2 linked regions of the Xenopus tropicalis genome follow. The protein of the gene in region 1 purifies or fractionates together with the protein of each later gene. This does not show direct contact. Links are inferred from orthologs where the notes say so. Each region holds a gene or a part of one and is shown in the gene's direction. Other genes may lie near its edges. The genes, in order: kpna3 and kif22.

Evidence for each region.
Region 2: the proteins of kpna3 (region 1) and kif22 purify together in Homo sapiens (affinity purification with mass spectrometry; 3 studies listed by BioGRID and IntAct, counting the BioPlex papers as one, with this or other methods). This does not show direct contact. The link is inferred for Xenopus tropicalis from reciprocal best matches to the Homo sapiens genes KPNA3 and KIF22.

The regions. Positions count from the first base shown.
Region 1 is NC_030678.2:149,379,406-149,383,225, reverse strand, and holds part of kpna3 (importin subunit alpha-4), read left to right. Parts: intron 1-176; coding exon 177-266; intron 267-393; coding exon 394-423; intron 424-509; coding exon 510-562; intron 563-830; coding exon 831-926; intron 927-2,099; coding exon 2,100-2,185; intron 2,186-2,556; coding exon 2,557-2,643; intron 2,644-3,820. UniProt on the Homo sapiens protein: Functions in nuclear protein import as an adapter protein for nuclear receptor KPNB1. Binds specifically and directly to substrates containing either a simple or bipartite NLS motif.
Region 2 is NC_030685.2:2,576,808-2,580,727, forward strand, and holds the start of kif22 (kinesin-like protein KIF22), read left to right. Parts: upstream 1-1,151; 5' UTR 1,152-1,448; coding exon 1,449-1,474; intron 1,475-2,380; coding exon 2,381-2,584; intron 2,585-3,638; coding exon 3,639-3,766; intron 3,767-3,848; coding exon 3,849-3,920. UniProt on the Homo sapiens protein: Kinesin family member that is involved in spindle formation and the movements of chromosomes during mitosis and meiosis. Binds to microtubules and to DNA. Plays a role in congression of laterally attached chromosomes in NDC80-depleted cells.

The DNA.
Region 1 (3,820 bases):
ATGAGTACAACTAGCAGGATATAATTGAATCAATTAGCTGATGCATTTAAGTGCATTCAAACCGGTCTCCCAAAAGCCCATACATAATAACTCTTAAACTGTTCGGAAATATGGGGTTCAACAAATCCTAGTTCTTTAATAGATTATTTAGTCATCCACATTTGTTTTCATTTTAGAACAAACGAGACGAGCACCTGTTGAAAAAAAGAAATGTCCCACAAGAAGAGAGTTTAGAAGATTCAGATGTCGATGGAGATTTTAAATCGGTATGTTCTGAAACCCAAAGTCTGTTTTTGATCTGTGCTTGTATATCTGGTTGTTATATGCATTTTCCAAATACTGGTAGCATTTACTGTAAACTTAGCAACTGATGTTTTCTCTTCTCTTAAATAGCAAAATGTAACACTCGAAGCAATATTGCAGGTATGTATAGTTTTGATCAGCATTACTTAATTGCTTTCATCTCTCTTAACTGCAAGTGTTCTTATAATTATCCTCTTCATTTGCAGAATGCCACCAGTGATAATCCAGCAATCCAACTAAGTGCAGTGCAAGCAGCAAGGTAAAGAGCCTAAGATCTAATATTTCTATGAGAAGACGCATATCTTGATCTTGTTGTTGGTCCTATATATTCTGAAATGAAAGATTGCCAATTACAGTGTTTTAAAATAGGTAATTTTACCTAGATAGAGTCCAACCATAAAATGTGTGAGAGGTCAGTGCTTGTGCAGAAGTCATGCTTGTGTCAAAGCTACATCATTACTAAGCTACTAATTCTAAGGCTAGGCAGGGTCTTATAGGACTAATGTTTTTTTGTGTTTTCATTGCAGAAAATTACTGTCCAGTGACAGAAATCCGCCTATTGATGATCTAATCAAATCGGGAATTCTGCCGATCCTAGTGAAATGCTTAGAGGCAGACGATAAGTAAGAACAATCTTCATTTTGTAAATGTATATTATCAGAAGTGCTTTTGTCACATCCGTATTTTTAAGTTAGATATTACATGCACATGCTTCTGTACGGTTGACTTTCTGGGTAAATCTGTTTTATAGTGTGGCAGATACCATTTAAGAATTGCCTAATAAGCACCAGCACTGGCACTTTTCATTTTCCTTGTGGTCAATGGCTGCTAGAAATCATGTGTATAAAACACCCTATCTTCACTGTTCCATTTTCTTAAACTTTCATTCTCCATGGTGTAACATTTTGCAACAATATTTTAAGCACTAAAATAGTTCTTTGATAAGCGCCGTCCTGACTGTTGTATTAATGACTCTATCCATGTATGGCCAGCTTTTGGTCATAGCTGCCCTTTATGGAAATACCTTAGTTGTTATATTGGATAAACTGTATACTCTCTGCTATCATTTATTGTGATGCCTCTTAACATATGCGCCCAGTGACTTCTGCCAGTGCCTCACAACTGTCAGGCTGGCTGCATACTGCATACAGATTTGTTTTTTAGCGCTGATCCCAGCGAGTAGCCTGAAATGTAGCCATGTCCTAGATTGGTTGCAATCAAATACTATTTAATTGTACCTCCTGCAGCATTTGTATGAGACAGGGAAGCTTTTTAACGTTCCATAAAATTAAAAGTATAACGGTGTCAGTAGGCAAAGCAAGAGCCGTAAATAGAATAAGAAACATTTATAGTGACAAAAATGTCAGCAGGGAAGCCGACCATGTGATTTCTCAGACAAAAAAAAAATCTCAGGAAATGTACAATAAGATTGTTTCATTTAGGGCAGAGGTACACGGGGAGATTAGTCGCCCTGTTATGAATCTGCAACTAATCTCCCCGCAATGCCATCCCATCGGCCAGAATGTAAATCGCCGGTGGGATGGCATACGTGTCGCTGGGATGTCCCGCAGTCGCCCAAAGTTGTCTTGAGAGGAAACTTCGGGCGACTGCGGGACATTGCAGTGATAGGTATGTCATCCCACCGGCGATTTACATTCTAGCCAGTGGGATGGCATTGTGGGGAGATTAGTCGCCCCGTGTACCACTGCACTTACATGCATTGTGTACTTGCTGATTTTTTTTCTGTTAATGTATCATTTCAAAAAAATTTTTTTCTTTTTTTTTTTTTTTTTTAGCCCTTCTTTACAGTTTGAAGCAGCATGGGCATTAACTAACATAGCATCAGGAACCTCGGCACAAACCCAGGCAGTGGTTCAGTCCAGTAAGTATGATAAATGGCTTTCTGTAGAAAACACTTCATACATAAGATACAGATACAGTGGCACCAGACAAATGTCCCTTTGCAGCTACATAACCTGTAATTTTCTGTGAATCTTGGCTGTGGACATCTGTGTCTGCAAACAACTAAACAATGTGCTGACAAACCTCACAGCTATGCTTTTTCCCCCCTCAGTGTTTTGTTTTTCATAAAAAATTATTTACATCTGAGAGCTGTTGCAGAAAGATGTATGCATACAGGCAGCCATCCTTTTATTTATATTTATTTTATTTAGTTCTAAGCTTTTGTTGGTTTTTTTATTTACGTGCATATCCATTTTCTTGCAAAAATCTAACTTCTTTTTACCTCCCCAGATGCTGTGCCTCTGTTCCTGAGACTTCTCCATTCCCTGCATCAAAATGTTTGTGAACAAGCAGTTTGGGCACTTGGAAACATTATAGGTACGCATTTTTGTAGGCACAAAATTTGAACACTCATTTTCCCCTGCATTTATACATCTTTCTGAGTACTTATCTACACAGGATTGTGGCCAAAAACTGAACTGGAACTGAACCTGTATTTTGCATATTAAAGTGTAACCAGCACACCCTATAGAGGTTTAAATGCCTTGGATGCTGGCCAAAATAAGGACAGAGAGCCACACACACAAGGACTTAACAATAAAGTGAAAAAAATGTAATAATTTTTTTCACTCTATTGTTAAGTCCTTGTGGGGTGGGGGGCAGGGGGAGGGGGGTGAATGGCATAAAACCGGGATCCCCAACCTTTTTTACCCCGTGAGCAACATTCAGCTGCAAAACTTGTTCGTGAGCAACACAATACGTGAACAGTAGCACAAACACAATTTTTAATAATAATAATAATAATATACACTATATTAAAATGTTATATAATATCAAAATATCAGTGTGAAATCTGGCACTGCATGTTTTCTGCCAGTTTTTGAAAATCTGAGGTGTAGCTGATGGGAAGCAGTATGGCACACTGGAGCTCTGAGGGTACAGATGGGAAGCAGTATGGCACACTGGAGCTCTGAGGGTACAGATGGGAAGCAGTATGGCACACTGGAGCTCTGAGGGTACAGATGGGAAGCAGTATGGCACACTGGAGCTCTGAGGGTACAGATAGGGAACCAGTATGGCACACTGGTTCTCTGAGGGTACAGATGGGAAGCAGTATGGCACACTGGAGCTCTGAGGATACAGATGGGAAGCAGTATGGCACACTGGAGTACTGAGGGTACAGATGGGAAGCAGTATGGCACACTGGAGCTCTGAGGGTACAGATAGGAAGCAGTATGGCACACTGGAGCTCTGAGGGTACAGATGGGAAGCAGTATGGCACACTGGAGCTCTGAGGATACAGATGGGAAGCAGTATGGCACACTGGAGTACTGAGGGTACAGATGGGAAGCAGTATGGCACACAAGAGTACTGAGGGTACAGATGGGAAGCAGTATGGCACACTGGAGCTCTGAGGGTACAGATGGGAAGCAGTATGGCACACTGGAGCTCTGAGGGTACAGATGGGAAGCAGTATGGCACACTGGAGCTCTGAGTGTACAAATGGGAGGCAGCATGGCACACAGAAGCAGCAAGGATAAATAGAGGAGAGAAT
Region 2 (3,920 bases), on another chromosome or scaffold:
GGAGCCCATTATAATACCAGGCAATACGGGAGCCCATTATAACAGGCAATACGGGAGCCCATTATAATACCAGGCAATACGGGAGCCCATTATAACAGGCAATACGGGAGCCCATTATAACAGGCAATACGGGAGCCCATTATAACAGGCAATACGGGAGCCCATTATAATACCAGGCAATACGGGAGCCCATTATAATACCAGGCAATACGGGAGCCCATTATAACAGGCAATACGGGAGCCACAGTCAAATGTAAAGACTTGGGGAGCAACACAAGCACCATAAAAGTTCATGGAGGAGCCAAATAAGGGCTGTGATTGGCTATTAGGGGCCTCTTTGCACCCTATCAGCTTACAGGGGCTTTATTTGGTAGGAAATCTTGTTTTTATTCAGCCAAAACTTGCCCCCAAGTGAGGAATTCATATAACTCCCTGGTTTGGGGGCACTGAGAGCAACACGCTGCCCGGGAGCCACTGGTTGGGGGTCACTGCCCTATGGGAATGGGGCCAAACTCACTTTCACTCAGGAAGGTTCCACTCGCAGGGATCAGCCGTAGGTTTAGCGCCCAGAGCTGCTCATACCCAGCCCGCTGTGCGCACAGGAAGTGGCCGCGCTCGCCCGGAGCATGACGGGACCACTGACGCCACTCTCGCCCCGCACACTTGGTTCCTGGGTCCGTACCGCAAAATATCCCGCACCCACTGTCAGTGATCCCGAAATTCGCGTCAGGGCCAGGAAGGGTTACTAGATTGGGAGACCAACTTAACTTCCTGTTTTGGCGCAAAATGGTGGGAATGGATGTCCGACCGCGGCCATCTTTGTTTTGGGAACCGAGCCAGTCTCGAGTGTAACGCAGTGAGGGATAATTGTAACGATTTCCCTCAATCATTAGGTTGGAGTTAAGCCAAGACCCGGTGTCAGAACAACTATTGTGTAGAAAGACAATAGGCAGTTTGGCCTTGGTTGCCATGGAAACACATATCCGTCTTATGACGAAGAACAAATAAAGAACTTGCGGCCCGAGGGCCTACCCTATGACGAACTTTGACCCCGACTCCCACATGCAAGCATTTGATTGGCTATTAGTATTATGTCTCTTAGCCGTAGAGAGCACTAAGTTCATTCCATGGTGGGAGGCGGAGTCCGATTCGCATCACGTGGTGTAAACTCCGAATTTGAATGAGCCAGTCAGGCGCTTGTGTGCGTGCCAGGCCTCGTTTACGCGCAAACCTGGGCCACGTGAACGCTCCTCGCCTTTCTATTGGCTGGACGCACGCTTCGCCGCCAAATACGAAAAGGAGGTACAGTAACCGGTCGGGTTTGTGAGGCCCCGACAGCCAGAAGCGGAAATCGGAGCTGTAACGTCCCAGTCGGGAGGGATTATTGTATCGTGTGGTCAACTCCAGAGCGTGGTTCTTAAGGCCCGACAGTGCCTAGCGAGTGGGGAATGGTTCTTACCGGGCCTCCCCAAAGGTGAGAGCCTTCCCCGCTATACATATCTGTTACACGGCTTATCCCTCCCAGCAGCCACGGGAGTTCCATGAAAGCTCATTTCCGGTTCCCTAGTGTGTAACGCACCAATATGTCCCCCAGCACCAGATCTCTACCATTCCATTGGCTTCAGTCCCTACCAATGCCTGCACATTGTACAGCTCGGAGCCATAGGGAGTGTAGCTTTAGGCCAGGGCTCCTCAAACCCTTTCAGCAGGCTGTTGGGGGGGGGGGTGTCCCCATACTATGGCCCCCCTGCTCCCCATACTATGGCCCCCCTGCTCCCCATACTATGGCCCCCCTGCTCCCCATACTATGGCCCCCCTGCTCCCCATACTATGGCCCCCCTGCTCCCCATACTATGGCCCCCCTGCTCCCCATACTGTGGCCCCCCTGCTCCCCATACTGTGGCCCCCCTGCTCCCCATACTGTGGCCCCCCTGCTCCCCATACTGTGGCCCCCCTGCTCCCCATACTGTGGCCCCCCTGCTCCCCATACTGTGGCCCCCCTGCTCCCCATACTGTGGCCCCCCTGCTCCCCATACTGTGGCCCCCCTGCTCCCCATACTGTGGCCCCCCTGCTCCCCATACTGTGGCCCCCCTGCTCCCCATACTGTGGCCCCCCTGCTCCCCATACTGTGGCCCCCCTGCTCCCCATACTGTGGCCCCCTGCTCCCCATACTGTGGCCCCCCTGCTCCCCATACTGTGGCCCCCCTGCTCCCCCCTGCGTCCTTGTGTCAGACAATAGTGGGGGCCGGGTAAATTACCTTGGGGGGGACGTACCTGACCGCGGCTGTAGTTTGAGGATGCCTGGTTTAGGCTTTATAGTCTGAGCCATATTTTCTCCCTATGATCTCCCATGGAAGCTTGACAACTCTGTGTTTGTAGGGAGTCGGTCAGTATGGCCAAGCGGGTGAGCATTCTGGATCAGCACAAGAAGCCGTCCTCGGCCCGGGTGCGTGTTGCCGTCAGACTGAGGCCCTACATGGAGAAAGAGGATGAGAAAGCGCCCGCCGCGTGTGTCCGGGGCCTGGACTCGCAGTCGCTGGAGATTGTCAACTGGAGGAATCAGCTAGAGACCATGCAGTACCAGTAAGTGAGGGCATCGCCGTGCTAGTGGGTCCGTGTAACATTGGTGTTTCAGGGCACCTCTGCCTAATTGTGCTGCTGGGGGGGGTGCTGGGCATGATCATCATGCTGGGGGGGGTGCTGGGCATGATCATCATGCTGGGGGGGGGTGCTGGCATGATCATCATGCTGGGGGGGTGCTGGGCATGATCATCATGCTGGGGGGGGTGCTGGGCATGATCAGCATGCTGGGGGGGTGCTGGGCATGATCAGCATGCTGGGGGGGGTGCTGGCATGATCAGCATGCTGGGGGGGGGGTGCTGGGCATGATCAGCATGCTGGGGGGGGGGGTGCTGGGCATGATCAGCATGCTGGGGGGGGGGTGCTGGGCATGATCAGCATGCTGGGGGGGGGGGTGCTGGGCATGATCAGCATGCTGGGGGGGGGTGCTGGGCATGATCAGCATGCTGGGGGGGGGGTGCTGGGCATGATCAGCATGCTGGGGGGGGGTGCTGGCATGATCAGCATGCTGGGGGGGGGGTGCTGGGCATGATCAGCATGCTGGGGGGGGGGTGCTGGGCATGATCAGCATGCTGGGGGGGGGGTGCTGGGCATGATCAGCATGCTGGGGGGGGGGTGCTGGGCATGATCAGCATGCTGGGGGGGGGGTGCTGGCATGATCAGCATGCTGGGGGGGGGGTGCTGGGCATGATCAGCATGCTGGGGGGGGGTGCTGGGCATGATCAGCATGCTGGGGGGGGGGGTGCTGGGCATGATCAGCATGCTGGGGGGGGTGCTGGGCATGATCAGCATGCTGGGGGGGGGTGCTGGGCATGATCAGCATGCTGGGGGGGGGGGGTGCTGGGCATGATCAGCATGCTGGGGGGGGGGGGGTGCTGGGCATGATCAGCATGCTGGGGGGGGGGGTGCTGGGCATGATCAGCATGCTGGGGGGGGGGGGGTGCTGGGCATGATCAGCATGCTGGGGGGGGGGGTGCTGGGCATGATCAGCATGCTGGGGGGGGGGGGTGCTGGGCATGATCAGCACACTGCTTATTATCTCTACCCTTATGCGCAGGTTTGATGCCTTTTATGGTGACAGCGCCACTCAGCGGGAGATCTACATGGGCTCTGTGTGCCACATCCTCCCGCACTTACTGATTGGCCAGAATGCCAGTGTTTTTGCTTATGGGCCCACAGGGGCAGGTAAGGGCTTTGGTGACATTCAGGTAGGTGGGCGCATAGCTGGCTAACAGAGGGTTGTATATGACCTGTCCTGTTCTCTCAGGAAAAACTCACACCATGTTGGGGAACCCCAGTCAGCCTGGCGTGATCCCTCGGGCAGTGAGGGACTTGTTGC